Linked DNA regions of Cricetulus griseus. The protein of the gene in region 1 purifies or fractionates together with the protein of each later gene. This does not show direct contact. Links are inferred from orthologs where the notes say so. Each region holds a gene or a part of one and is shown on either strand. Other genes may lie near its edges. The genes, in order: Rbbp4, Sap130, Arid4b, Hmgxb4, Mtf2, Nasp and Eed.

Region 1 (4,134 bases):
ACTAACCATGACCAGCACAGGGTTTTTGTTTATTTTCTGTACCTGGTGCCTGGGGAGACCAGAAGAAGAGGGTGTCAGATACACTGGAGCTCCATTTCCAGACAGTTGTGTGCCATCATGTGGGTGCTGGAAACTGAACCCAGGTCCTCTGCAAGAGCAGCAAGTGCTCTTTTGCTCCATCACCTGCTCTTGGCTTTTTAAGGAGTTGTGTCTGTTTGTTTGTTTTTGTTGTTGTTTTGTTTGTTTTTTCCTTAATTTGTTTTGAATTTATGTGTGTGCATATTTTGTCTGTTCGTGTATGTGCAGTGTGCATGGGTTTACTGAAGCCAGAAGATAGCATTGGGTCCCCCTGGGTCTGGATTACAGACAGTTGTGCCTCCGTGTGGGCACTGAGAATTGAACCAGGGCTCTCTGAAACAGCAGCCAGTATTCTTAAGTGCTGGGCCATCTCTAGCCCCAGGGAATCATGTGTGATCTCAGTATTTTCTGGTAGGAATGTATGTAGCCCAGCTGTAGGTGCTTACCTGCATGTGTAAAGCATTAGTTTGGGCAGGTGTTACAGTAAATGAAGCGATTATAAGGACCACATTTCAAACCTCAGCACTGGTATATAATGCCAGGTGGCCATGGCAGCACACCTGTAATTCCGGGAGGCAGAGGCAGAGGCGGTCACTGAAATAAACTAGCTATGCTAGCAAAGCCAGTGAGTTCTGGGTTCAAGGTAGGTTTGTCTTCGGTCTGTCTAGAGGAAAGAGGTCAAGAGACCCATTGTCAAGTTGTGGCTTCTGTTTACAAGCACACATACGTACATACTGGGAGGAAAGAAAGAGAAACCCAACTCTAGATTCTGAGGGGGTCCCTGCAGGTATCCTGGCAGGGAAGTGAACCCAGCAGAGATAAGAATGAAAACTGCAGGTTGACTTGCCAACCTGGATAAGACTTCAAGGAGTCGATTGCCAGGCAGTTCATTATCACCATATTTAAAACAATACAATTGGGGGAAAGTTTCCAGGCAACAATCAGTCCAATTACATGTGCACAATAAAGCATAAAATGTAACTTCATAGAAATTCTTTACAAAGTACATGTGAACATGAAGCTAAACAAAAAGACCTGGAATCTAGTGTGGTCTCTGACCGATAGCATAGAGGTCAGCAGGCCATAAAATACTGGTGACCTGTAGGATGGGTCTGGGGGGGAAAGAGTCTGGAATAATCATTTGGGGATTTAGGGTGAGATCTGTCCCTACAGATAGCAAAAGGGTCATTGTGTCATTAACCTCCACTCTCAGCTTTCTGGACGCAAGTATTGAATTTGTATCTCCTCCATTGAGGAGACACCCCTGTGAGAGTAACATTCCTGGTTCTCATAATGCTTCTCTGTGCCCCCTGCAAGGTTCTAGGGGGAACTACAAAAACAAGAATCATCCCTACTTCCAAAATGTTTGAGGCAGTGTATTCAGTAGCTAGCTCTGTAGACCAGGCTGTCTTAACTTGCAGAGATCCACCTGCCTCTGCCTCTGCCTCCCAAATGCTGGTATCAAAGGTGGGTGCCACCACCACCTACCTAATATTTTTCTTTTAGGGGATATAAGAACTCTTGCACATGACCAGGCACAAACTCTACTATTGGGTTTTATGCCCCAAAGTTCTTGATAAAAACAAAAATATCAGGCAATTGTTTTCTTCTCACCCATTGTTAACTCACTTTATTTCAATAAACTGGGAGAAAAAATTCTCTATCGTGTTTTAAATTTTTGGCCATGTTAAATAAAAATTAAGTTCTGTGCTTGTGCCCTGTCTGGCCTTAATAGAGGGTCATTAAAAGTAGGAAATAAGCCAGGCAGTGGTGGCACATGCCTTTAGTCCCAGCACTTGGGAGGCAGAGGCAGGCGGATCTCTGTGAGTTCGAGACCAGCCTAGTCTACAAGAGCTAGTTCCAGGACAGACTCTAAAGCCACAGAGAGACCCTTCCTCGAAAAACGGAGGGGTAGGGAATAGAGGCTAGCAAGTTGACTAGGTGGGTAAAAGTGCCTATTGCCAAGCTTGACAACTTGAGTCTGGTCACCTGGATCCATGTGATGGAAAGAGAACAGATCCACAAAAGTCTTCATTTGTTTTATGAAGTGTGAGTGTTCAGGGTCTCCTGGAGCTAGAATTTCAGGTGGTTGTGGGTCACTTAGCATAGGAGCTAGGAACTGAATTCAAGTCCTCTGTAAGAGCAGCAAGCACTGTTAATTACTGAACCATCTTTTTGATTGTGTGTTTTTTGTTTTTTAAAGAAAACAGGGACTTTAGTAATGACTCAGTAAATAGGAACATGTAGTCAATCCACAACACCACAAAACAAGACAGACAAGAAAAAAAACAGGGTGGTATATGCTTGAAGCCTCAGTGATGGGGATATAGGAAATAGGATGATCTCTCAGGCTCAACAACCAGCCATGCTTACTTAGTTGCTGAGCTCCAGGCCAATAAAGCAAGCCTTATATTAATGGAGGTGAATAGCCTCTTTTTTGATTTTGCTTTTTCGAGAAAGGGTTTCTCTGTGTAATAGCCCTGGCTGTCCTAGAACTCATGTAGAAACTCCTGCCTCCTGAGTTCTGGGATTAAAAGCCTGCTCCACCACAACCGGCCATGAACAGAATCTTAAGAGTGAGTGACACTTTATTGTTCTCCAGTATCCATTTATATGTATGTCTATTTAAGCACGGGGGGCTGGGTTTTGTTTTTTAAAGTAGGAACTAGTTCTCACTATCTCAATTGAACTGCTTGGGGTTTTTTGTTTGTCATGTGTATGTTGCTGACTTTATGTTATCTTGGGTTGCCAACTTGAATAGTGACCATCTGTTATTACAGGCCTGAAGGAAAAGACTTCAGCATTCACCGGCTTGTCCTGGGAACACATACGTCAGATGAACAAAACCACCTGGTGATAGCCAGTGTCCAGCTTCCGAACGATGATGCTCAGTTTGACGCATCTCACTATGACAGTGAGAAAGGAGGTAGGATAAAAGAAGTAATGGTCTGTGGATTATATGTTTCCTGTCTGAATTGTCATCGAGGAGGTACATAATTGGGCGGGGGTAGCCTCTTAGGTTTAAGTTATTGGGAAAGCTAGTTTGCAATCAAGAGTCATCAACACAAAACTCGGTTCTGTGCTTTTGCTGTAAGCTGTCTCTACTATACTGGTCATGGTGAGATTTCTGCAGTTAATGTAGTAAAGATCTACCATATTTTTTTTGGTGTGTATTCTCAACAGGAGCAACATTGACCCAAAGAGACAGAAATTAATTCATGGGTATGGGTTGGTGTTTTGCCTGCGTGTATGTATGTGCACACCTTGTGTGTCTGATGCCCACATAGGCCAGAAAAGGGTGTTGGATCCTCTGCAGATGGAGTTATAAGCATTTGTGAGCCACCAAGAATTGAACCTGGGTCCTCTGCAAGAGCAGACAGGTGCTCTAAATTGCTGAGCCATCTCAAGGAGGATCACAAGTTACCCGCCAATTTGGGGCTAGTTAGTGATTTCCCTAATTCAAAATAGAAACCATAGTCTGCATGGTCCCCAGAGCTTTCAGTGTATCTGTACTACTGCAGTTTCATTGGGGATAAAGGGGCAGAAAGTCTTAAAACTTTCTTAAAGGTTTAAGATACAAGAAATGACATAGTACCCATTATATTCATAAAAGATTTCAACAACCTAATTCTTAGAAGATGCCATAAGAGTAGCTGTTCATGAATTCCTTTTTTCAGATAGCAATCGGTAAATTTTCTTTATGGCCTTCATACCAAAACGTCAAAAGGGGGGGGGTCAGTAGGGGAGTTTCCTTGAATAAAACCCTGTCTCAGACAAAACAGCAAAAAAAAAAAAAAAAAAAAATGGGCTTCTTTTATTAACATTTGTGCTCCTTATATTCAGTTTTTAATGTTTCTGGATATTAGCAGAAATAACTCTTCATGTTTAAGTTTATTTGGGATCCAGCTACTGGCTAGGATAACAGTTGTGTGTGTGCTATTTACTTGCTGGTCGTTCCACATTGCATCTTCGGTGGTACAGAGTGCAAAATTGGTTGTTAGGGTAATAGTCAACTACAATTCTGTGTGATTTGCCCAAGTGAATAGTTTTTTTGGA
Region 2 (4,134 bases), about 180 Mb from region 1:
ATATTTTTTTTTTTTCCTTTCAGGTGCAGCAGCTGCTGCTGTGATGTCCAGCTCTAAAGTAACCACAGTCCTGAGGCCAACTTCACAGTTGCCAAATGCTGCTACAGCACAGCCAGCAGTACAGCACCTCATTCACCAGCCAATCCAGGCATGTTGGGGTCGGGGTACTTGGCCAGCATGGCTGTGGTGTTTTACCATTTACTCTGCCGGACACTGAGGGAGCCCATAACCCTATAACTGAGTTACTACTCAAGGCTTTGGAGAGTTTGAAGGATGCCTGAACAGTGCAGGGATAATAATAATTTGTTGGGAAAGTAGCAAGTGAGACAACAGGTGCTAGAAAAATAAAGACGGCCATGCACAGTAGCAAGGAAGACAGACAGTGGTGGCTATAGATAGTGTTTGGTGAGGGCTAGCTAAGATGGAGGATTGTTATTTGGAAAGAGCTCTGTGAACACCTCAAATTTTTATGTACATTTTATGCATATAAATGTATGCCTGTCGGGTTGTGGTGACGAATGCCTTTAGTCCCAGCACTCAGAAGGCAGAGGCAGGTGGATCTCTGTGAGTTCGAGGCCAGCCTGGTATAGAGAGAGAGCTCCAGGACAGCCAGAGTTACACAGAGAAACAGGAAGTGTAAAACAGTACTTTTTGAAGGATGGGCAGGATGTGGTGATTTAATTGCATCTATGAAAGTCAGGAAAAGGGGTGAATCAGGACTCAGGTGATAGGAATAGGTATAGTGGACAAATGATCGGTGCCATTTGGGGGGCTCCTTTTTCACGTTTTACACACAGATGTAGTAATAAAGGTTAGGACTAAATATTTGTATGAAAATGTAGAAAGCGCCTGAACACCTGACATTGCCCCCCTTTGAACACCTTGACTCTGGCCAGCATAGAAGTCTGTCATCCCCTTGCCCTTTGTATCCTAGTTTAGACTGAGAGCCAGCAACTCCAGCCAATAGCTTCATGGGCCCTCTGTGGAAAACACTTGGATATATGACATTTTGAATGTCCACTCTGCACCATAGTAAACCACGAGAATGCTGAGCAAAACAGTTAAATCCTAGTTTACACTAGGACAGTACTTTTACTATAGTTGTATTAAAAAGTCTTAGACTATCCAAACAAGATAGGAATTTTTGTTTATATTGGAACAGTCTCATTATGTACTCTTGGGTGGCCTCAATTCTTTACATAAAGCAGGCTGGCCTCAAACTCACAAAGATCCACCTGCCTCTGCTTTCTGAGTGCTGGGACTAAAGACTTGTACCACCACACCCAGTATGAAATAAGAATTTTCCCTACCTTTTTAGCAGTGCTGGGAATCGAACCCAGACCCTTGTATTTGCCTGTCTTCCACTCAGCTGCATGTGTCCTGCTCTGACATCTATTTCCCCCACCGCCACCCCCACCCCTTTGTTTCTTGGTATATGTGAGGTAGTGTAGGTAGCCCAGGCTTAGCTCACATTTTCTTGGGGGGGGGGCAGGTTGTGTGTGTGTGTAATTCTGACCTGTCTTATAACATACCTAGAAAAACCATTAGGGTGCTAAGGACTTGGTTCCATCTAGTCACAGACCTACTCATCTGGAGGCCTGAGTTTCAAAATGGAGTTTTAGTATTTGGTTTGGTGTTGTTACTTTGCTTTTTGCTTTAATTGAAGTATTTTTTCTCTCCCCTATAGTCTCGCCCACCTGTGACCACCTCCAGTACAATCCCTCCTGCTGTGGTAGCAACAGTCTCAGCCACCAGAGCTCAGTCTCCTGTCATCACTACGACAGCAGCACATGCTGCTGACTCAGCACTAAGGTATCCGGGCCATCCTGCTGTTTCCCTCTTTACCTCAAATGAGTTTTCTAAATTGTACTCTAGATCAGGGCTTCTTAAACTTTTATCATCCAAGAGATTTTCACATGACCCTGGATATATAGGTATATAAAATAAGTACAGAAACCAAACACTTACTAGTAATAAATCCTAACAAAATGTCTTTTAAGGTGCTAGAGAGATAGTTCAGCAGTTAAGAGTACTTGTTGCAAATGAATGAGTGAATGCTTGTTGTGCTTCAGAAGACCTTAGTATAGTTCCCAGTACCCACATTGGACAGCTCACAACCACCTCTAACTCCATCTCTCCAGAGCCTAGTGTATACACACACACAATAAATCTTTTCTCTTTTTTCTTTTCTTTTGGTTTTTTCGAGACAGGCCCTGGAACTCTGTTGACCAGGCTGGCCTTTAACTCATATAGATATGCCTGCCTTTGCCTCCTGAGTGCTAGGATTAAATGATGCATGTGCTGCCATCACCACCTGGCAATAAAAATAAATCTTAAAGACAAAAGTGAACTGATTTTACCATTTACTAAAGAATTGTGCTTGTTTATCTTTACATAAGGAATTACATCTTGGCCCAGCACATCTTTGACTGGCAGCATCTTCAGCATTTTACAGACTTGGTTGATACTTTGATTTTATAATTGTCAATGCTGAGAGTGCCACTTTATATAATATAAATATGCAGAATGACAGAAGTATATTTAGGGCCATTTGCAAAACTGTTGGAAATTCTATCCTAATCCCAAAATTTATGGCCATAATTCATTTTGGTTTTGGTTTTTAGATTTTTTTGTTTGTTTGTTTCATGGATATGAATGTTTATATGTGCACCATATGCGTACCTGATGTTTGCGGTGGTTAGAAGAGGGCATTAGATCTCCTGGAACCAGAGTTATGGATAGTTGTGAGGTACCATGAGGATCCTGGGAACTGAACCTTGGTCTTTTGCAAGAACAGGCAGAATTCTCAATGGCTGGGCTATCTTGCCAGCCCCTTTATTTGTTTTTAAATAACATATAAAGGCCGGGCGTTGGTGGCACACACCTTTAGTCCCAGCACTTGGGAGGCAGAGGCAGGTGGATCTCTGTGAGTTTGAGACCAGCCTGGTCTACAAGAGCTAGTTCCAGGACAGCCTCCAAAGCCACAGAGAAACCCTGTCTCGAAAAACCAAAAACCAAACAAACAAACAAACAAATAAATAACATATAAGGTAATAGCTTGTCTTATGGCTTTTCCCACACACAATTCATGTATATGTGCACACATGCACATTTGTGAATGAATGGGTGAGTATACACCGCAGCATATATAGAGATATTTTCTTCTCGGTATATACCAGACCAGCTGGCCCATGATCTTCTAGCAGTTCTGCTGTCTCTGTCTCCATCTCTGTAGAAGCACTGAGTTACAGATGGCCAGGCTACATCTGCTTTTTTGTGGGTTCTGGGGATTCAAACTCAGCTTCTCGTGCTTACACAACTTGTGCTTTTTCACAGAACTATCTCCCTAGCGCCTTAGTTTGGTTTTGATCTTCCTTATTCTTCTCCCCTGTCCTCCCTTCCTACTTACATCTTCTGTCCCTTTTAGTTTCCTTTCCACATTAAATCACGCCTATGCTATTATCCTTCCTCACTCTACTTTCAAGACCTATCATTCATTCATATATATATCAAGGATCTGTAATTGGGAATGTACTGTCATTTTGAGTGATCCATCTTGAATGGGAGAACAGAAGCAGTGGCCAAGAAAGTTACATAGAACACTGGGTCTTTTAGAAATTTCCTCTTACCTCAGTGTATTGCCTTGACTATAAAAAGAACAAATCACAAATGATTTGTTCCAATCAAAATTAAACTCAAATCAGACATGATGCCTCCCACCATGACCACAGCTCTTCCAAAGGACGGGAGTGGGATTATTATCATTATGCATGTCAGGTGGGTCACACCTGCTGTAACTCCACTGAACAATCAGACCACTCAGAATGGAAAAACGCCCCTCTCCTCTGGGGTGTAGCATGTTCCCTGTGGGACTCTACTAACCCATACTACAGTTCCTAGTTTAACCCTAAATCCTTTGCTTCTAACCCTTGGAACTAGTCCAGATCCTGTTTCACTGCTAACACTGATTTCACCAGCACAAAGCAGTCAGGAGGCTGAGGCAGGAGGATAGTAATTTCAAAGCTAGCTTGGGTTATATAACATGTTTTAAGCCAGCTGAGCTGCATAGTTAGACCCAATCTCAAACAAAAGAAATTTTATTTTCCTTTGCCACGGGGGGGGGGGGGGGTTGAC
Region 3 (4,134 bases), on another chromosome or scaffold:
TAGTCTACATGTCAGATACATTAGAAAACTTTTAAGGCAAACTTTAGAATAGTATATAGTAGCAGGCTTATATAATGAATCCATATACAGTCTTCTGAAATAAAGGAGAAAATCTAATTTCTATTATAGTCAAAAGTAATAAAAACCAAAACTTAAGTTATGAGCAGTTTAAAATATTTTTAGGGAAAGGAATTAATTTACTTTGTAGATCAGATCCCTGTTCCAATACATTTTCATGCCAGATTTAATAATCTCCAATTCTCAAAGCTTTTTAGATATAGTTTATTTAGTATTTTATATGGATGAATGTTTAGCCTGGATGTATGTGTGTGTACACACACCAAACGTTTGCCTGATGCCCGTGGAGTTCAGAAGAGGGTGTCAGATCCCCTCCACTCTGGAGCTAGATGGTTAATGAGGTGTCATGTGGGGGCTGGAGATTGAACTCAGGACTATGCCAGAGCAACAAGTGCTTTTAACTACAAAGTCATCTCTCCAGCCCAGTTCTCTGTTACTATTTGCTTCACTATTACCATGTGTGCTACCATAACAGCATCATAAAAAGAACAAACAAGCAGATGAGTTCTTCACAAATAACTTTCAGAATTGCTTTACAGTCTTAATACACAGCACAACTATGTTTTAGACAGCATCACAAAGGACAGTGTTTGACAAGAAGTAGAGAAACCCAACACTGGAGGTGCCCAACTAATAACACACACAGCAAATTCTGGTCAAAAAACCAACCTGAACTACTTTTATAGAATTTAACTTTTGGAATTTTTTCTGGGTGGCAGGAGGTAGGAATACGTGGATTTTTTTGAGACACTCTCTTGATTTATTACTCAGGTTAGCCTCAACTCTCAATCCCCCTGCCTCAGCTCTGAGTACTGGAATTACAGTCATGCACAACCACATTTAAATTCATTTAAATATTTATAGAAATTAAAATCAAATACTTGCATGCAACAGTTATATTTACCTTGTAGTCCATTAAGAATGGAAGTAATTTCTATAGATTTAATATGAGCTGTATCGGAGTTTTTGGCATCAGCAAGGTCTAGTTTTGAAACCATCTCAGGAGATGGATTTGACTGAAACGGTGGTTTTGACAAACGTCGAAGTTTACAGTTCTTTGGAGAGTATTTTTCATCTTTGTCTTTTTCTTTGTCTAATTTATTCTAGGTAAGTAAAGCATTAGATATTAGCTATAATGTATTATGAACAACTTATTAGTAACAATATTCATTCTATTTTAAAGAAACATCAAATGCCTATTATTATTATTAATATTATTAAATGTTTAACTGAGAAAGAATACCAGAAAATGCAAAAAGAAAAACTTCAAAATAATCAGGTTTATTTTAGGTTATTCATGAAAACACTGAGATGAAAAAATTGTTCTGTATTTACAGTCTAGCAGTAGGGATCAAACAGAAAAGATGACTAAGAGTAGGAACTGAGTATTGCTAATAACTGCTACAAATTCTTGAAAATTAAATAATAGATCCAAATTTAATATTTATAAAATTAAACACTCAATTTCAACACTCATATTAAAATTGAACATTCTCACTGTAAAGTACAATAGCCAAGTTCTGTACTTTGAAATTTACAGGAGAAATTACATGCATTGACAGGCTGTGAAGTGAGCTCAGAGGCAGCCTTCCTACCTCACTCAAAGGCTGATACTTTTCTCACGCTCAGTTAACAAACAAATGAGTCAAGGCTAAGGTAATTCCTATAAGCAATGTTTTTTGTTGTTTTGCAATTTAGGCTCTTCACAGTATGACTTAGCAACAAAAATTCTTAAGTCCTATTACATAGACAGACTGAAAACATGAGTGATTATTTTCACAAGTCTCTAAAAGATAGTACATGGGAAAAATACTCCCTTACATGTAACAGTTAAAATTTGGGTAGCGGCTGTTCTCCAAGTGGGGTCCTTAGCCAGCAATTTCTGAGAACTTGCTAGAAAAGCAGACCCCTAAAAACAAGATGAATCAAAATGCTGACAATGGAACCAGACAGCCTGTTTTAATGTGTTCTCCATGTTATCTGGTACATGTTTCAATAATAAGGATCAAGGGACTGGGCCTAACTTATAGAACATCTTTAAAAGGGCAGGTAGACTACCACAGCCTATGTCTACTGTTACTCCCATCATTTCAGCATTTCATGACTTGATCTCAGAAATCACAATGTACCATGTGCACCAAAGGCTGAAACAATTCACTTCAGTCTAAGTTCAAATATATTTTTTAGTGGCTGTCAAATGAGTTTCTCCAACAAGGGCTCTTAAAGAAAACTGGGAGGGAGGGAGGAGGGAGGGAGGGAGGAAGGGAGGGAGGGAGAAGGAAGGAGGGAAGGAGGGAAGGAGAGAAGGAGGGAAGGAGGGAAGGAGGGAGGGAGGGAGGGGCAATACCAAAGAGTAATGCATAATAAAACTTTAAAAAACTTATAGTTCTCAAGCCTCTTTCCTTATGACCAAGAATTTTAACATGTTTAGTTTAGTACCAAGCAGTGGACAGAGACAGACATTCATAGAACATTTCATGTGCATGACCCAAACATTGTTTCTCTGACTCATCTACTCAGCAATGCTATTCCAAAGCTTGCTTTGTACAAAGACATGAATTTTTAACAAACATTTAGCAAATGTTCTTCCAGTTACTAAAAACAATGCTAAATATAGCATAATTTACATACTTTCCAATAAGGACCAACAAAAAATGTAAAGGGTTTAAGAAATCCTGAGCTTTAGGTACTGGAGTACTGTACTAGAAACTTAGACTCAAGTTTACAGTGATAAAAGGATTGCCAACAAGATAAATAAATTCAGCATCTGAGACCACAAGGGGTCTCTAAACAGGAACATAACAATGTTTCATTGGACTAAGAAGACTTCAGAACCACTACTAAGCATGTGAACTACACACAAAGTATAAAAAACCTTCTTAAAAAGATTAAAATTTTGCGGGGCGTTGGTGGCGCACGCCTTTAATCTCAGCACTCCAGAGGCAGAGGCAGGCAGATCTCTGTGAGTTCAAGGCCAGCCTGGTCTACAGAGCAAGTTCCAAGACAGACTCCAAAACAATACAGAGAAACCCTGTCTCGAAAAACCAAAAAACAAAAAGAAAAAGATGTTAATGGCCGGGTTTTTTAATAAAATATTTAAAATATTTATCTCATAATTAGTAATAATCCTATCATGTTAGTAGTACAGTTTCACATATGAGAACATAGATACTATAGTAGCTATGCAGTGTGTGGTGAAGAGGGTGCTGAAAACATTCTGACCCAGTAGCCAGTCAGATATAGATGAAGAGATACTCTCCTCTATCTTTAGACATCTCCTCTCCTCACCTTACATCTACTTACAACTCACATCCCCTACCTGCAATGCATGATGGCTCCTAGTTGGGAACTACAAGAGACAGGAAAGGTTTAAATGGATAAATTTTGTCATACAGTTTTATACAATGTTGAGAATGAAAAGGCCTCCAATATCAGTTAGCACTGTTCCTAAAACCTTTTCACCAGGTGACAAAATTAGAGCAAAATCTAACATCTGGTAAAAGTGCGTTTCAAGAGAAGATAACATCAGGAGTAGCACATGCATTTAATTGGCCTTTTTTTTTTTTTTTTTTTTTTTTTTTTTTTTTGAAGGAAAATGCACTTAACAGCTAATGGTGCATGGTAAAATCAAGGCTTACCTTTATTTTCTTCCGATGTTTTATCTTTGGTACATTTTTGTCAGCAGGTCTGACTATTTTATCTGCTTTAATCCATTCATCATATCTAAAATGAAAAGAAATGAGCATAAATATGTAAGCTACATGTCTCAGAAGGAACTATGCTATATTCAAATAGAAAGCTCAAATATTGAGTCCCAACATCTTACAATTTCAAAGGCTCTTGGAGATCTCTTAAATCAACCTGATAGGAGTATGCAATCAAGACATCAAAGAGAGTCAAATTGACTGTCCTAAGGTCAATATAGCTACTGACAGAACCAAACCCTCATAAATCCTCCAGGTTTACCCTCTGCTCTACTGAAACCAAACACGTACATGGGAAATTACAATCTTTTCTACACTTTTGTTTTGCTCCTAAGCAGCAAGTAGGTGTTTT
Region 4 (4,134 bases), on another chromosome or scaffold:
GCCTGTGCTTCCATTAAAAGTTTATCAGTGTGGGCCAGGCACTGATGGCTGTATTATAAGGTTAAATAAGAGTGTTGTTGGTTTGTGGGTGGGGAGCATTATTTCTCAGGAATTTTATGCCAAAATGTATCTGGTGTGAAAAGCCTGAAACTACAATTAAAGCTATTCTACTTGGAATCAGCCTGTGAAAGCCAAAGTTGATCAGTATGGCTTTCTAAATAAGCTCATCATTTTTTACTAGTGAAAAGGTTGCCATTGTTCATTTGTTTGAGACAGGGTCTCCCTAAATAGCCCTGGCTGCCCTGGAACTCACTATGTTGACCAGGCTAGCCACAAATGCAGAGATCCACTTGCCTCTCCCTTCTTGAGTGCTGGAATTAAAATCATGCATGACCTGGTGAAAATATCATTCCCAGTGATCCACCTTCACTCCCCTTTAAGTCAGCACCACTGGGTAGGAAGTGAAGAACAGTTTCTAATTAAGAAATATAGTAATTTAAGGCTGAAACAGGAAAAACTGATGACATGATACATACATACATACATACACACACACACACACACACACACACACACACACACACACACACACACACACACACATCCTAACATTCTACATGAGGTCTCTCCCTACATCCTCACCCTTTATTGCATGAGAAGGCCCTTTGAGCAAGTTGTGTGCCAGCTCTCTTTAAATAATCCACTTCATGTTGTTTATTTACTTCACTCTGGCTTCCCTTACCTGAAGCAAATTCATTCTTCATTTTGTGTTTTGTATTTATTAGACTTAGAAACCTTGGCATTGCTTTTTTTTGTGTTTTCAGCTTTGGCCTACCTGTGCACTATATTTATGTGGCTTTTAAACAACAACAAAAAAGTCTTTTTTGTTGTTGTTTTTGAGATGGTGTTCTCACTTTGGAGCCCTGGTTGTCCTGGGTCATGTAGACCAGACTGGCCTGGAATTTACAGAGAACAACCAAACTTTGCCTCCAGAGTGCTGGGATTAAAGGCATTCACCACCATGCCTCACTAAAAATTTTGAACTGTTAAATTTTTAAATTTTAAATTTTAAAACTTTCCCCTGTTAACCCAGGGGCCCCCCACCCCCAAATATATTTCATTTTCTCCATACCTATCTGCAGGACTTAGAAATGTGTAATCTTAAATAATGAGTAATTCTAAGCATTTGACTAACTAAATGAAAACATTTTCAAAATAGTTATTTTAAATATTCTGCAAAGAAGTGAGTTCTGAGCCAACCATAGCTACATAGTGAAATCCTGTCTCAAACAAACAAACAAAAGAAGAAGAAAAATTCTTCAAAGACTTTCTGTCCTTAGGGTAATTTAAGAATTTTACTTTACAGTGCAGTATGTAACTCTGTCACCTTCAAAGTCACTATGGACACCTGAACTTGAATGCCCCAAAATGCTTTATAGCAGTGATTTTCAACCTTCCTAATGCTTTGACAGTTCCTCATGTGGTAGTAAAATAACTTTATAACTATAAAATTAGTTTTGTTGCTACTTCATAACTAATTTTGCTACTGAAATGAATCCTAATGTAAATGGTTGTGTTTTCCGATGGTCTTATATGACCCTTGTAAAAGTTGTGTGACCCTCAAAGGGGTCACAACCCATAGGTTAAGGATCCCAGCACTCAGGAGACAGAGGCAGGCAGATCTCTGAGTTCTCGCCCAGCCTGGTCTATAAAGCAAGTTCTAGGACAGCCAGGACCGTTACACAGAAAAGCCCCGTCTACACAAACAAAACAAAAAAAGAAAGTAAAGAAAGGAAGAAGGAAGGGAAGGAAGGAAGGAAGAAAGAAAGAAAGAAAGAAAGAAAGAAAGAAAGAAAGAAAGAAAGAAAGAAAAAAAGAAAGAAAACCCAACAAAGAACCACTACTTTGGTTCTACAATACTTAGAACTATATAACATGACACCTGCCTTTAATCCCAGCGCTCAGGAGGCAAAGGCAGGTGGATCTCTATAAATTCCAGACCTGTCTGGTCTATATAGTGAGTTCTAGGCCAGCCAGGGCTACACAGGGAGACCCTGTGTCAAAAAACAAAACCCAGTACTTAGAACTTTTAAATTATATTACTTATAAATTAGTGAAAAATCTTAACATAATTTCATCATCAGTGGATAAATGGCATTTCTTTTAAAAAGGCTTGTTAGTGTTGGAAGTTTTCATATAGCCAACAAATTTGAGAAGTATGCCCATGTCCATTTTAGTGAGCTTGAACAAGTTCATAAAGCCCAGCAGAATGCAAGGCTTTAAAATTATTAATATCTGTATAGGTACTGTTTAAGTTATGACACAGCAAATTCTATTGGCTCACCAGTCTCTTCAGTAGGATTTTGTGGTCTTCCGGTATTTGGTGTACTCTGTCCTCCTCTGCATCTGGCTTTATCTGTGTATCCTGTGACCATGGTTGAACCCATGCCTCTGACTTAACGTCAGTTTCTACCCTGTCTCAGTGTCATTAGTCCTGTTGGCATTCCAGAAATTCTCATTAATTTTGGAAGTTTTTTTAAATCTAAGAAGTGTTTTCTATAATTCTTCAAGTGTCAACTTTTAATACATGAATTAAATCCAGTTAAGCTTAGCAGTCTCCCTGCAAGGTCAACTCCAGTATATGCACGGACTGAGGAGGTGACAAGATACTCCTGTGTTCCTTCCAGTCAGCCCTTGGATTACTTGGAATTTCCACCTGGAAGGTTGCTTCTCCACAGTGATTTCACATTACAGGAAGGTTTTCCTTCTTTGTTTCTCAGACCTGGTCCTGTAGACGGGAAGGAGCCTGGACACAGTGACCCAACACATTCACAAAGGCCCTGCAGGACCACCATGGCTTATGATGACTCCATGAAGAAAGAAGGTATGACCCCTTACTCAGAAGCATCCCAAAGGGCATAACCTCTGCAGTCCCTGGATGTAGAGACCAAGACTGGGTACCACAGCCTAGACCAAGTGATGCTCCATCATTCCCAGACTGGGCCCATGGAAATGAAAACCAGGACAGGGGTTCCTACACCAGAGTCTGAAATAAGAATCTTTTAGTTTATTGGGGTGATCCCCACAGCACTCTTAGTCCTTGCCAGCTCCAGTGTGCATGAGTCTGGGACTAGGAACCTCTCTCACATTGGACTCCCACAGCACAGCACATGAATTCTTACACTTTCCAGCCTTCCCTCGCAAGTCTGTGTCTACCTGCTAAATCACTCACTACTAAGAAACCATATCTGAGGATGCACATTGGGCATTTGCATAGCATGGAAGCATTGTGTTTTCGGGTTTGAGTCTTGTGTTTGAAGCCGGGTCATCAGAAGTCGTCTTGGCCCTCTGAGTTTAGCCCTGCATTTCAGAGGACTCACTGAGTGTAACTTTAACTTGGAAATGGGACTGTTGTGTTTACTTGTTGCTTATGTACTTTAGTCATTTCCATCCCTAAATGAATTTGTGCTTCCCAGATTGCTTTGATGGTGATCACAGCTTTGAAGACATAGGACTTGCAGCTGGTCGAAGCCAACGAGAAAAGAAGCGGTCTTACAAAGATTTCTTAAGGGAAGAGGAAGAAGTTGCTGCACAGGTCAGGAGTTCCTCCAAGAAGAAGTCAAAGGTCAGTTCCAGATGTCTTTCAAAGCCAGGATCCCAGGAGAGCAGCCCCAAACCGTTACCTCATCATCTTATTGCTGGCCAATTCTCCCTCTCTAACCACAGGACAGTGAGTTGTTCTTCCTGGGGACGGACACACACAAGAAGAAGAGGAAGCACTGCCCTGATGATTACTGTTATGGAGGTGAGAATGGGAGCGGGCTGCAGGTGGGATGTGCACATCTCTGGTTCTTGGAGTCGGGGTATGGGAAGGGATCCCAGATATTGCTGACTCAGTGGCCTATTTAACAGGACAGTGGTTCTTGTTCTGAGTGCCGATAAACCAGTGTGAAGGAGGAGAGAGGTGGAGGGCTGGTATTTTGGAGGATTCAGCATAGAAGAACAGTCTTCATTTGTGATACACAAGGTACCAGGTTCCTTCCTCCCTGAATCATCCACTTATCTGTGCCATTGTTACTTAGCATCCCTTTGCCAGATGCAGTCCTTGGGCCCTCTGCATATCTGTGGGGCATT
Region 5 (4,134 bases), on another chromosome or scaffold:
GATGAACCTGGCTTTGCCTCCTATGTGCTGGGCTTAATAGCTTTTCTAGAGATTTGACTGTGGACAGGAAGGAAAAAATAAGGTCAAAGGATAAGTGTAACTATTACTAGGGTTGGGTTCTTGTTACCAAATAAAGTACATCAGCAATTTCAGAAGAAGGGAAGAAACACTAGGAAATGAGAAATTATAAAGTTTGATGTTTTGATCTAAGAATGTGTGCTTTGTAAGAGAAGTAATACAGTGGAGAGTCACAAAAAAGGGAGAGGTTGTGTTGAAATCGTAGAAAAGCATATGAAGATGTCTGGGAATGTTTGCCACTTGGATTGTATGGTTTCCATTCCAGAATTAGGGAACATTCTGCTGACTTACTTTTCATACTTAGTTATGCTATTCAAGTTTGGGTCTGTTACATAAGGGATGCAAGATCCCAGAACTTTAGACATATCCTGGGCTGGCCTCAAACTTCCTGTGTAGTTGAAGGTGACCTTGAACTTCTGATCTTCCAACTTCCACCCTCTCAGTACTGGGATTATAGGTGTATACCTACACGTAGCTTTCTTTTATTTTTGTCTTATGGAGTTGGGGATAGAACTGAGGGCCTTGTTTGTGCTAGGCAAGCACTCTACCAACTGAGCTACATCTCCAGCTCTCTTTGTTGGTTTGAAGATTATCTTTTCCGTTTTTTAGTGACTCTTTACAATGACTATACTTGTATGTTTTGAGTTTCTTGTATACATTAACACTTTCTAGCAATTTAGGAGGAAGATAATCCATTGTTAATTCTTTTTGGACAACTTTTGGTTTTCTTGTTTTTGTTTTTCAAGACAGGGTTACTCTGTGTAATAACCCTAACTGTCCTGGAACTCACTTTGTAGAACAGGCTGGCCTCACATTCACAGAGATCCTCCTGTCTCTGATGGGATTAAAGGTGTGTCTTTCTCATCAACTTTAAAATGTATTTCTTTCATACCAAAACTCTGTACCCATAAACATTTGGTCCTTCCTCCTACCCACAGCCACCACCATTCTACTTGTTATGAGAGTCACTGTTTTATGTACTCATACAACCAGAATTAAACAGTGCTTGTCTGGTTTATCAGGATTGTTTTACTTAGTGTAATGTCTTCAAAATCCCATGCTGTAGCATGGGCATGATTCTCAGAAGTTGTGTCATTTTTAGGCATTGAATATAACTTTCCTTTGTGCTTAGCTACTGAGACTTTCCCCACTTTTGCTTCCTCCTTCCCTCCCTCCTTGAAGTTTTATGCTCTCATATTGTCTGTATAGTTTTACACACCCTTGTATGTTAACCAGTAAAATATTTAAATTGGAACACTGAAGCCAAACACTACTTTGTCCTTTAAGAAAATTTATGTTGGGGCTGGAGACAAGACTCAGCAATTAAGAGCTCTGGCTGCTCTTCCAGAGGACTTCAGTTTGAGTCCTAGCACCTACAAAGTGGCTTACAGCTAGTCCTAGGAGCTCCAACATCCTCTCCTGGTCTCCCGTCACCAGCCACTCATGTGGTGCACAGACATAAATTCAGGCAAAATACACACAAAATATATAAAAATTGATGGTATGTCATACAGTTCACAGAATTACTAATACATAAGCTACAATGATTTTGTAGTTATTATTTGGGATCACTGCTTAAAAAGTAAAATCTCATACATTTCACTTGATGATGACTCTGTGACATCCCAAGTTTCCTATTTGAATTATAATACTCATTTTGTGTATGCTTGTGCCATTGCATGCATGTGTAAGTCAGAACAACTTGCAGGAGTCTGTTCTTTTCCTTCCATGTGAACCCTGGGCATCACATTCGGGTGATCTGGCTTGGTGGCCAGTGCCTCTATCTGCTGAGCTTGTTACTGATTCAGTTGTCACTTTTTAAAAAGAACATTTGTTTTGTTTTTTGTTTTTGTTTTTGTTCTTCGAGGCAGGGTTTCTCTGTGTAGCTTTGGAGGCTGTCCTGGAACTAGTTCTTGTAGACCAGGCTGGCCTCGAACTCAGAGCTCCGCCTGCCTCTGCCTCCAGAATGCTGGGATTAAAGGCATGTACCACCACTGCCCGGCTTTTTAAAAAGAACTCTTTGCTGCTGCTGCTGCTGCTGCTGCTGCTGCTGCTGCTGCTGCTGCTACTACTACTACTATTAGTTTTTGAGACAGAGTTTCCCTGTGTAGCCTTTGCTCTCCTGGAACTCTCTGTAGATCAGGCTGGCACCAAACTCAGAGATCTGCTTGTCTCTGCCTCCTAAGTGCTGGGATTAAAGGCCTGTGTCACCATTGCCTGACTAAAACAAAACAAAGCAAAACTGTTTTAAGTCTGTATATTTAGATTGGTATATCCTCCCCTCTTCCAACAAGAACAGTTCTGTAGTGATTCTCACAGAGGGATCACTCCTGCCATGAATGAGAGCATTGTCATCTACCCCAGAACTGCCTCTGCCTCCCGAGTGCTGGGATTAAAGGAGTGTGTCACCAAGGCCCGGCAGGGTTCCAGCTATGTACCTCAAGTTGTCCTGGAACTTCTAAGTAACCTATGCCAGCCTGGAACTTTTGTGCTCTGCCTCCCAAATGTTGATATTACAGGCTTATACCACCGTACCCAGCTGTTTTCTGCTGTTGTTTTTGAGATAGTCACCCTAATATGTTTAGGTGAAATGACTGCTGAATCCTGGCTTCACTTAGGGTTGGCAATGAGCAAATATTATGAATTAATGCTCTTTGGTTTAGAATGCATTTGTCATTTGAGTTATTTGTTTTTCTCAAAGGTTTTATACTAAAAGTTTTGGTTAGTGTATGAAATATGTCATTGTTATAAACTCTTATAAGTCTTATATTTGGTCCTTTATTTTCTGAATAGAGACTCTACAGGAGCAGGTAACTCACTGGTCCACAAGCGGTCTCCTTTACGTCGAAACCAAAAGACCCCAGCATCCTTGAACAAGCTGTCTTTACAGGATGGACATAAAGCCAAAAAGCCAGCATGTAAATTCGAAGAGGGTCAGGATGTCCTAGCTAGATGGTCAGATGGCTTGTTTTATCTTGGAACTATCAAAAAGGCAAGTTACTGTAATAGATCTCTGCTGTATTTGCAATATACTTTTTAGTAATTTAAAATTTAATCTTGTGCTTATAGTTTTAAGAGATTACTGAGTTCTTTCTCTGTATTGCAGATAAACATACTGAAACAGAGCTGCTTCATCATATTTGAGGACAGTTCTAAATCCTGGGTTCTCTGGAAGGACATCCAAACAGGCAGGTGCTACTGTTTCTCTTGAACATTGCGTGCGCGTGCGTGCGTGCGTGCGTGCGTGCGTGCGTGCGTGCGTGCGTGCGTGCGTGCGTGCGTGTAAATAAATTTAACTTTATTCAACATGGCATTTTCTGGTGCTAAAGAAATTGAATACACTCTTTCTGTGACTCAGTAGCATGTATGAGGAGAGGTCTAAACATGTCAATATGCAGAATTATTCCGCTTTCCATGTTTTATAAACAAAGCTCTATAGCTTTAATTGAATCCTTTTGTTGTTGTTGTTTTTGTTTTTCAGAGAGACAGGGTTTCTCTGTGTAGCTTTGTAGACCAGGCTGGCCTTGAACTCTCAGAGATCCGCCTGCCTCTGCCTCCCGAGTGTTGGGATTAAAGGCGTGCGCCACCACTGCCCAGCTGAAGCAAATATTTGATGGGTATTTTTAAGATTTATTATTTATTTGAGAGAGTGTGTGTGTGTGTGTGTGTATAACATGGGTGCATGTGCCCACAGAGTCCAGAAGAGGTTGTTTGGATGTCAGCAAGCCCCAGTGATTCTCCTGTCTCTGCATACACCACCCTCAGCTGGGCTTACAAGTATTTGTGGGAATGCCTGTGATTCCTGGGATCTGAACTCATACTTGTGGTTGAGAGCAAGTGTTCTTAACCACTGAGCTGTCTCTCCTGCCTAACATTTTGGTATTACTAAGATGAAAAAGCTAAAACTTTTAATTTGTAGTAAGGAAGACCATGGGCAATTAAGCTAGACCAGGAATCTTGTAAATTTGATAGTAAAAAAGGTATACTTGGATTTTACAAGTAAAGATAATTCCCATGTTTCTTAGGTTTGTTTCTTGAGATGAGTATATGAAGTTT
Region 6 (4,908 bases), about 12 Mb from region 1:
AAAGAAAGATGTGCCCCTACACCCAACCCTACACCCAATTTCTTAACAGCACACCAGTCAGGATTTAAAACACTTTTTTTTTTTTTTTTTTTTCCCGAGACCAGGCTGGCCTCGAACTCAATGAGATCCGTCTGCCTCTGCCTCCCAAGTGCTGGGATTAAAGGCGTGAGCCACCAACGCCCAGTTTAAAACACATTCTTATGACTTTGTTTTAACTTCGTTTTCTTTTTGAGACAGGGTCTCACTCTATCTCATTCTGGCTGTGTCAGACCCTGTCTCTCTCTCTCTTTTTTTTTTTCGAGACAGGGTTTCTCTGTGGCTTTGGAGGCTGTCCTGGAACTCGCTCTTGTAGACCAGGCTGGTCTCGAACTCACAGAGATCCACCTGCCTCTGCCTCCCGAGTGCTGGGATTAAAGGCGTGTGCCACCAACGCCCGGCCAAACCCTGTCTCAAAACCCCCAGAAACGGGTGTGGTGACACTCAGGTAGCACTTGTGAAGTGGAGGCAGGAGGATCAGGAATGCAAGATCATCCTTGGCTATGTAAAGCTGGAGGCTAGGATCAGCTATATGATACTATCTAAAAAACAAACAAAATCCCAGTGCTCAGGGGGCAGAGGCAGGCAGATCTCTGAATTTGAGGCCAGCCTGGTCTACAGAGCAAGTTCTAGGACAGCTAGGTCTACACAGAGAAACCCTGTCTCAAGAAACAAAACAACAATAAGGGTTCCTGATTTAAATATCTTATCTTGTTTAACATTAAAAAAAATTTAAAAAGCTGGTCAGTGGTGGTGCACATCTTTAATCTCAGCACTTGGGAGGCATAGGTAGGCAGATCTTTGTGAGCCATCAACGCCTGGCTTCCTGTACATAATTTTAAAAATTAAAAATATTTGAGACAGGATCTCATTATGTTTCTTGGTTGTCCTGGAATTCACTATATAAATCAGACTGCCTGGAACTCAGAGATCCCGAATGTCTCTAGAGTGTTGAGACTAAAGGTGTTTGTGACCACACCTGACCTTTTAAACAAGTTATTTTTATTATTATTATTTAGTTTTGTTTTTCAAGAAATGGTTTCTTGCAGGGTGGTGGTGGTGCATGCCTTTAGTCCCAGCACTCGGTAGGCAGAAGCAGGCAGATCTCTATGAGTTACAGGCCAGCTTGATCTAAAAGAGCTAGTTCCAGGACAGCCTCCAAAGCCACAGAGAAACCCTGCCTCAAAAACAAAAACAAAAAAGGTTTCTCGGTGTACTCTGGTTGTCCGGAGTCTAGCTTGGTAGATCAGGCTGGCCTTGAACTCAGGGAGATCCACCTGCCTCTGTCTCCTGAGTGCTGGGATTAAAAGCGTAGGCCACCACGCCCCACCAAAAAAGTTATTTTTAAAAGATTCCACTTTATTTTATATGTGTGAGTGCTTACTTGCATGCATATACGTGAACCATGTGTGTGCCTAGGGCTTCTGGAGGTTAGAGGACGACACTGGATACCCTGGAAGCGGAGTTACTGACAGTTGTAAAATAAGATGGGTATGGTGGAGCTCACTTGTAATTTCAGCACTTGGGAGGCGAATCTCTGTGAGTTAGAGGCCAGCCAGGGACATAGTGTGAGTCCCTTTCATATGTACTAAAGATAGAAGTAAGATAGCTAAAAAATTTAAAGTGTTTTAAGTACAGGGATTCAGCTCAACAACTCAGTGTTGGAATGTGGGTAGGGTGTCAGATGAGGGCGTCACTGGATTGGGCCAGCCAAAGGCGCGTGGATCTAGAGAGAGGAGGAAACATCCCTACTCCTTTGCCCCTCTGAGTTTTGAATCTAGCGCGATAGTTTCATCTGTAGCCAATCGTAGAGCAGCACCTTCTTTCGTCAGTAGTTGCTGAGGCCCAGAGCCACGAGTCTCTCGGGTCAGTTCTAGCCGTTGCTGTTGTACTCGTGCTCGGCTCTTGCGTTTCCATCCGTTAAGACTGAGAGGGCATACAGAAGACCTGTCACCTTCTCGGGTATCCCCGCCAGAAAGAAACCCTCGGCTACTCTTTCCACGCCCGCAGAGACTCACTGGCTCCACTTAACGTGGAGGCTCTGGCTGGCTCCATCAGAAGTTGTAGTGCCAAGATTCTGGTGCTTCTAACACGGCCAGCTACCGGGAGCAGGAAGTTCTTTTGTTGTTCGATTTTCTTTTCTTTCCAAGGAAAAGCGGGCCCGGGCGGGAAGATACCCAAACGGGAAGGGCTGCGGGGAGGTGTCCTTGTGACGGAGAGGTGTTGAGTTCTGGCCCTTTAAACCCAAGGGGGAGGATCCGGAAGTGGATGGGCGGGGCAAGCGGCCCCGATATATAAGAGGGCCCCAACCGCGCGGGGTCTCCAATCTGCCATTTTCTGTGCCTGAGTAAGTCTTTGCTGTCCTGAATTCTCTGTTCTCTCCACAGGCAGTGCTCTGCCCACCGGCCCACCGCGTCAGGGGAACGATGGCCACAGAGTCTACAGCCACTACTGCCGTCGCCGGAGAGCTGGCTTCCGCTGACAAGTAAGCCGGACTGTGGCGAGCGGGAGGCGCTGGCCAGTCCGTGGGGAGAGCTGTGGACTGGCTTCGCGGGCCGGAGGGCGGGCGGGCGGCGGGCCCGGCGGGGGGGTGGGACAGCTGCCTTTCCCTGGAGAACTGCGGCTGTCCGGAGGGAGCGGGGCTGTGGAGAAGCCCCCCCCTCAGGCGGCGCTGGCGACCGGCGCTAACGGCGGGCGGCTGGCGCCCCCTGCCCGGCTTTCCGCGGCCGCCATCTTGCCGGGGGCAGCGGCGGCTGTCTCCATCGCCTGCCCTTTTTCTTCCTCCCCCGGCCCGGGGCTGCCGCCGGTGGGGAGGCGGGGCCCCCCCGTCGCCGGTCCCCTCTTGAGCTCTTACTCTCGGCGCACTAGCGGGAGAGTCTGTAGAGGAATCTAGAAAACGACCAACAGATTTGGCGCCAAAAGAAAAAAAAAAAAAAAAAAACCTACACACGAGGATTGAGGCTCAGACCTGAGGGACCCGAGTGGGCGGGGCCTCGAGGAGGGCGGGACTTTGCACGCGTGCGTTCCGTGTCCCGGCTCTGGAGACGGGGGCGGGGCCTCGAGGAGGCGGGAAAACTCCATTGTTTGGGGTTTGGAGCGGCTCCTGCGGCAGCCGCTGGGCGCAGTGAAGTTTATCTCGTTGACTGTGTAGTTGACTGTAACCCGCGGGGTCGTTACGCGACCGAAGCCCTGCGACTCTCCGCTTTTGCTGAGAACCCTCAGGGTGTCCTTAGACTTTCCGTGTGTGGGTCGGAGATTTGGTTGCTCCAGGGGTCATTTTCACACTGATGGCTTCTTCGGTAAACGCTACACGGAGAATTCCGTACTTGCTAGATGAGTCTGCTAAGATAAAAGGACCCCCCCCCCCCCAAGAGGGAATAATTGCTTTGAGAGCTTCACAGTGCTAATCAAACATGAGCTACTTTTTTGGATAGTGCACAGAAACGGCCCATCATTTGGAGGAAACAAGTTTTCCGTACAGTAGGTCCTACTTTCCAATCTTCCCTTGTCTTTTAGGTGCCTGCTAATATTTTTTTTTTAATTTATTTATTAGTTCTAGTTAGGGAACAAGCTTGTTCACATGTAAATCCCTTCTCTCTCTCCCTCTCCCTCCCCTCACCCCATCCCTCCTCCCCCACCCCCAGCCTACCCCCACTCCATCCACCCACCACTCCCCAGGCAGGGTAGGGCCCTCAACGGGGGGCTCTGCAAAGTCCACCAAATCTTCCTGTGCCTGCTAATATTTTTTTCCGTCCCTGTACATTTTAGAAGTTTTTCCTCTGGTAAAAGTAAAGTTGGCTGTGGGGTTTTTGAGTGTTTTTTTTTTTTTTTTTTTTTTGCTGTAGGTTTAGGCATACTAGTTGACTTTTCAATTAGTACAGTTGTACCAGATATTAACGTATCTTTGCATACTTTACCTGTCACCTTTTGGTTCCTTTTCTAGTGGATTCTTGAAAAGCAGTGTTTCTCAAATCACCAATTTCCTGCCTCCTCATTGATTTCTTAGGGCCAGAGTAGCTTGAGTTAGGAAAATCTGTAGAATTTATTTATTTCAAGACAGGGTTTCTCTGTGTAACAGTCCTAGCTCTCCTGGAATTCTCTTTGTAGATCAGGCTGACCTCAAACTCACTGAGATCCACCTGCCTCTGCCAGTTTGGCCTCGAACTCTGAGATCTGCCAGCCTCTGCCTCCCAAGTGCTGGGATTAAAGGAAGGCCTGTACCACCACAGACCGGCTTTGTTTTTTGTCTATAGTTTTTATTATTATTATTATTATTTTGAGTCAATTAAAAAAATGTTATGGGATTGGAGAGATGGCTTAGCAGTTAAGACCACTGGCTACTCTTCCAGAGGACCTGAGTTCAATTCCAAACAACCACATGGTGGCTCACAGCCATAGTGGGATTTGATGCCCTTTTCTGGCATGCATAAAGTTGTACATACCAGGCTGGTCTCAGAGATTCATCTGTCTTTGCCTTCCCCATGCTGGGATTAAAGACTTGCACCACTACCGACAGGCATATAACGAGGGCTCTTAACTGCTCATCTATCCATCTTCAGTCTCATTAAGTAAATTCTTATTGACTCACATGACTATAGTGTGAAGTCTTAAATTTTTCTACACGTCAGAAAAGTCAAGTTTAGAATGGAGAGATTGTCAAATTATTATTTTGAGTTTTCATTTCTTCAATTTCCATGAAAAATCTTGTCTGTCAGGAAATTGTATAATGAGTTTTTGAGAAAAGTAAAGACAGAATGCTTCAGTAAAGTAAGTTGGAGGCGGTATTTAGAAATTTTTATTTGTGGTACTGTGGGATTAACCTAGGACCCTCACAAGCTAGGCAATCCTTCTACCACTAAATCATATCCCCAG
Region 7 (4,134 bases), on another chromosome or scaffold:
TGTTTTTATTAGTCTCACAGCTTCAAAGTCATGATGGCTATTCTCCTGCCTCAGCATTCCGAATACTGGGATCATAGGCATGAAACACTATGCTTAAACTTCATTTCTTTTTTCTGGTGTTGATAATATGTTCTAGAATAGTGTATTTTCTTAAAAGGCATTTCATTTTGGACCAATGTAAAGTTTTAAAACCTTAAGAACTAATGTTTTTAAGTGAAGTAGTGTTTTAAAATACCCTTTGACACTTCATTTTTAACTTTTTATAAATGGAACAATCTTTAGTAAGCTTTACCCTAGAAATAGATTGTATACAAATGCAGTGTAGACTTAGTGGACTTCAACCTCACAGCTGTTAGACACACTGACAAAAGGGTTCCTTTGGAGGATTTCTGGATTACTGCCCCAGGGTAATAGGTGGGGATCTTTGTATTCCAGAGAAGACTTAAGTATGGGTTCTGAACTGAAGATAAGTTAGAAGAATTTTCTGTATTTCCTGAAACCTTATCTATGTTTAAACAGATTACCGTGTACAGAGTTTAGATATGCGCATAGTAGTATTCAAACTGAATCAAATTGCATTTACACATAGTATGGACTAGGTGGGACTTCTTTAAAATTCTAAATCTGTTGTGTTATAAATAAATAGAATTTGCATGACAGATTTTGTTTTTCAAAACGGCATCTAAAATAGTAAGCATTAGCATCCCTGCCCCAAAAGGCCATGTGTCTACACTCATTCTTCCACTTTCGAGGTAGTCAATTAAATTTTGAAGGTAACCAGATTTATTGGATTTATTCTGTTATTTTATGTGCTAGTGAAGTATTGGATCCTAGTAACTGTACCAGCAAGAGGACAGTTTTACTCAACATTTCCTTGTCTGGTAGTGGCTTTTCCACAGAGCTGTGTAAGAGTGAATGATGAATTATATTAGTGTCACTGGTATAGGCCAGTGTCTTATTTAAAGCCCAAATTACTCTTTCATTATCTTTCTTAGTACCTTGTTTTTACTTTCACTGCAGTATAAAATATCCACAAGTGGTCTAATGCATAACTGGGTTTTACTTCTTAAAATCCCCAGCTGCAGGAGTATGTGTCCCATTTTTTGCATGCTTTTAAGTTAGTCATTATCTTTTTAGTAGTACAGTCAGTTACTTTTAAATACTGTGTGCATCTATATCTGTCTGATGAAGTTGTTCCTGATTTTACTGGTTGCAGGATGATGCTGTCAGTATCGAGAGTGGCACAAACACAGAACGCCCTGATACGCCTACAAATACACCGAATGCACCGGGAAGGAAAAGCTGGGGGAAGGGAAAATGGAAGTCAAAGAAATGCAAATATTCTTTCAAATGTGTGAACAGCCTCAAGGTTTGTACCTAAAGCACTAGGCTTCGAACTTCTAAGGGACATACAGAATACCCTAAGGTTTAAAATATTTTAAAATTACAGTATTTTAAAGGTTTGTTTAAACTGGATATTACAATCTATCATACATTTAGTCATTTGAGCTTTATTTATTGTGTGCTTCACTTTAAATGTGTAATACTGAGTTGTAGGCTGGTGTTACTACCTCCCCCCACCCCCCCTGTTATATAGTCCTAGCTATTCTGGAACTGGAACTCTCTGTAGACCAGGCTGGCCTTGAACTCAGAGATTAAAGATTTGGGCCACCACTGCCATGCAAGCCTGGATTTTTAAGAGATAAGAAAATGAAAGCTAGAAGACTTTAAAAGTGGGGGGAAAGTACTTTCACGGGAACTTGAAAGTCAGTGTTAAACACAAGGAGATTGCAACAAGGCTCTAAGTCTGAACTGCAACTTGGAAAACAAAAGTGAACAACCCTGTACTGTGCTTGTCTACTATGCAGTTTAAGTCCTGGTTTTAGTACAAGCACTAAAAATAAAACAAAAGAAACAAAAGTATCTTACAGATTGCTTTCCCTTTGTGTATCTGAAGGCATAGTTCATTCCCTCCCTGAGTCCTCACTGTTCAGTCTTGAGAGGATGACACTTTCCTATGATCCAAATCCAAGGTGGAGTTTTTTATGTTGTTTTCTTTTGAGACAAGCCTTCTGTGTAGCTCTGACTGTCCTGGAATTCTGTAGACCAGGCTGACCTCCAACTTAGAGATGCACCTGCCTCTACCTCCCGAGTGCTGGGAGGGATTAAAGGTGTATGTCACCACTGCCTGGTATGAATCTAAAGTTATTTAAAGATTTCACAAGATAATGTAAATGTGTTTGTATAGGACTAATAAGAGTAGTGGCTCGGATGGAGGGTGATATGTCCCACTTTCCAAGGGAAAAGTTAATTCTAATAAAATCCAAAGCCAGTTGTTTGTTATATGAGAGAAATAACCGTGTCCTCTGGGCTCAAGAGCTTAAAGTGTATCTACCAAAAGTTCTCAATTTATTATGATTCAGAAAGATGGTTGGATTTAAAAACAGGCAGAAACCAGGGTTCCCAGGATACCTATCTGTTTCCTAACTTATGGTGTGCATCTTTGTTAGGAAACATTCACATATTTTTAAGATGTGGACACTTGTGTAGTGTCTTCATTTTAATGTCATAAGTAGCATGTGCATGATATATGTCTTAGTTTTGTATTGCTGTGAAGAGACATCATGACACCTTGTTTTTAAAAAAAAGCATTTAATTGGGACTTGCTTACAGTTTCAGAGGTTTAGTCCATTATTGTTATGTCTGGATACATGGTGGCATGCAGGCAGACCTGGTGCTGGAGAGGTAGCTGAGAGTTCTGCATCTGGATTCACTGGGAGGAGCAAGAACACTGGGCCTGGCATGAGCTTTTGAAACCTCAGGGCCCACCCCCTCCAGTGTCTTACTGCCTCTAAAAAGCCAAACCCCTAATCCTTTCAAATAGTGCTATTCGCTAAGCATTCAAATATATGACCCTATAGGTTTATTCTTATTCAAACTACCACCGTATATAAGAAGTGGACTTAATTTGGGGAGGGGAAAGTAAAAGTTGGCTAATGTTTTTGAAAATATGTTAAAGTTTTCTTATTTCATGATTTTCTAGGAAGATCATAACCAGCCATTGTTTGGAGTTCAGTTTAACTGGCACAGTAAGGAAGGAGATCCTCTGGTGTTTGCAACTGTGGGAAGCAACAGAGTGAGTGTTAGGGGGGCAGGTTGGCAATTGTGATTATTTCGCATGTTACAATTAAAATATTGAAATGGAGTGATTTTAAAGTAAATTCTGAATAGCTGGCTTACCAGTATAATTCTTTTGTGTAAGAGTGAAGCTTTTGAGGAATGGTCAGGGTTAAGACTAATACGACTAGAAAATACATTTTTATTTACATTTGTTATGAAGCAGGCTTTGAATCGCAAGAAGAATTGACTTATATTTACCATTCAAATATGAAAGCTGTACTTTTATTTTTAAAGTTTCATTTTATGTGTGTCAGTAGGCTGCCTGCATGTTTATCTGTGCTCTGTGTGCATGCATTGCTAGGGGTAATCATTTCATGGTACTGAAGATGTTTTGTTACAAATTTAATTAAAGAAGAATAAACCGTAATTATTTTAAAGTTTTAACTTTACTCACTTTGGAAAAGTTCTGATTATATGGATGAAATGTATATTTAAATGTTTGGAAATAGAAACTACTATTGCCAGGCTAGTATCACATAGAAGGTGTGAGGATTTATAATGGTTTGGATAAGCTTACAGAGCTGCTGCAAGCAGTTTTTGTAATGTCACTAAGTTGTAATTTTGGCTAGAATGTTTTAAGAGTCAGAGAATGTTTCTTTCTCTGAAATGATATGCATATTTTTGTTTCTTTAGGTTACCTTATATGAGTGCCATTCACAAGGGGAAATCCGGTTATTGCAGTCCTATGTAGATGCTGATGTATCCTTCTCTCGCTGCTTTTGTATGGTTTAAAACATTGAGTTTGATAAGTACACTAAAACTTTTTTTTTTCCCGAGACGGGGTTTCCTCTGTGTAGCTCTGTAGACCGGGCTTGCCTCAAACTACAAATATACTGTCCTATCTTTCTTTAGCTAGGAATATTATCATTGTTACCCAAGGGGATCAATCCTAGTATCTCATGTACCTGATCTTGAATTTGTCATGAGGTGAATGTGATGGTGGGTACAAGACGA

What was found.
Region 2: the proteins of Rbbp4 (region 1) and Sap130 purify together in Homo sapiens (co-immunoprecipitation; 3 studies listed by BioGRID and IntAct, with this or other methods). This does not show direct contact. The link is inferred for Cricetulus griseus from reciprocal best matches to the Homo sapiens genes RBBP4 and SAP130.
Region 3: the proteins of Rbbp4 (region 1) and Arid4b purify together in Homo sapiens (affinity purification with mass spectrometry; 5 studies listed by BioGRID and IntAct, with this or other methods). This does not show direct contact. The link is inferred for Cricetulus griseus from reciprocal best matches to the Homo sapiens genes RBBP4 and ARID4B.
Region 4: the proteins of Rbbp4 (region 1) and Hmgxb4 purify together in Homo sapiens (affinity purification with mass spectrometry; 4 studies listed by BioGRID and IntAct, with this or other methods). This does not show direct contact. The link is inferred for Cricetulus griseus from reciprocal best matches to the Homo sapiens genes RBBP4 and HMGXB4.
Region 5: the proteins of Rbbp4 (region 1) and Mtf2 purify together in Homo sapiens (affinity purification with mass spectrometry; 4 studies listed by BioGRID and IntAct, with this or other methods). This does not show direct contact. The link is inferred for Cricetulus griseus from reciprocal best matches to the Homo sapiens genes RBBP4 and MTF2.
Region 6: the proteins of Rbbp4 (region 1) and Nasp purify together in Homo sapiens (co-immunoprecipitation; 4 studies listed by BioGRID and IntAct, counting the BioPlex papers as one, with this or other methods). This does not show direct contact. The link is inferred for Cricetulus griseus from reciprocal best matches to the Homo sapiens genes RBBP4 and NASP.
Region 7: the proteins of Rbbp4 (region 1) and Eed purify together in Homo sapiens (affinity purification with mass spectrometry; 10 studies listed by BioGRID and IntAct, with this or other methods). This does not show direct contact. The link is inferred for Cricetulus griseus from reciprocal best matches to the Homo sapiens genes RBBP4 and EED.

What each region holds. Positions count from the first base shown.
Region 1 is NC_048595.1:23,704,438-23,708,571, forward strand, and holds part of Rbbp4 (histone-binding protein RBBP4), read left to right. Parts: intron 1-2,858; coding exon 2,859-3,004; intron 3,005-4,134. UniProt on the Homo sapiens protein: Core histone-binding subunit that may target chromatin assembly factors, chromatin remodeling factors and histone deacetylases to their histone substrates in a manner that is regulated by nucleosomal DNA.
Region 2 is NC_048595.1:205,692,171-205,696,304, reverse strand, and holds part of Sap130 (histone deacetylase complex subunit SAP130), read left to right. Parts: intron 1-23; coding exon 24-148; intron 149-1,687; coding exon 1,688-1,812; intron 1,813-4,134. UniProt on the Homo sapiens protein: Acts as a transcriptional repressor. May function in the assembly and/or enzymatic activity of the mSin3A corepressor complex or in mediating interactions between the complex and other regulatory complexes.
Region 3 is NC_048596.1:237,301,721-237,305,854, reverse strand, and holds part of Arid4b (AT-rich interactive domain-containing protein 4B), read right to left. Parts: intron 3,802-4,134; coding exon 3,717-3,801; intron 1,182-3,716; coding exon 983-1,181; intron 1-982. UniProt on the Homo sapiens protein: Acts as a transcriptional repressor. May function in the assembly and/or enzymatic activity of the Sin3A corepressor complex or in mediating interactions between the complex and other regulatory complexes.
Region 4 is NC_048596.1:150,764,610-150,768,743, forward strand, and holds part of Hmgxb4 (HMG domain-containing protein 4), read left to right. Parts: intron 1-2,780; 5' UTR 2,781-2,853; coding exon 2,854-2,884; intron 2,885-3,476; coding exon 3,477-3,625; intron 3,626-3,726; coding exon 3,727-3,805; intron 3,806-3,912; exon of another isoform or gene 3,913-4,027; intron 4,028-4,134. UniProt on the Homo sapiens protein: Negatively regulates Wnt/beta-catenin signaling during development.
Region 5 is NC_048600.1:2,837,597-2,841,730, forward strand, and holds part of Mtf2 (metal-response element-binding transcription factor 2), read left to right. Parts: intron 1-2,871; coding exon 2,872-3,070; intron 3,071-3,184; coding exon 3,185-3,266; exon of another isoform or gene 3,267-3,270; intron 3,271-4,134. UniProt on the Homo sapiens protein: Polycomb group (PcG) protein that specifically binds histone H3 trimethylated at 'Lys-36' (H3K36me3) and recruits the PRC2 complex, thus enhancing PRC2 H3K27me3 methylation activity.
Region 6 is NC_048595.1:35,762,901-35,767,808, forward strand, and holds the start of Nasp (nuclear autoantigenic sperm protein), read left to right. Parts: upstream 1-1,875; 5' UTR 1,876-1,998; intron 1,999-2,349; exon of another isoform or gene 2,350-2,423; 5' UTR 2,424-2,462; coding exon 2,463-2,521; intron 2,522-4,908. UniProt on the Homo sapiens protein: Component of the histone chaperone network. Binds and stabilizes histone H3-H4 not bound to chromatin to maintain a soluble reservoir and modulate degradation by chaperone-mediated autophagy.
Region 7 is NC_048596.1:109,136,080-109,140,213, forward strand, and holds part of Eed (polycomb protein EED), read left to right. Parts: intron 1-1,216; coding exon 1,217-1,369; intron 1,370-3,043; coding exon 3,044-3,136; intron 3,137-3,813; coding exon 3,814-3,879; intron 3,880-4,134. UniProt on the Homo sapiens protein: Polycomb group (PcG) protein. Component of the PRC2/EED-EZH2 complex, which methylates 'Lys-9' and 'Lys-27' of histone H3, leading to transcriptional repression of the affected target gene.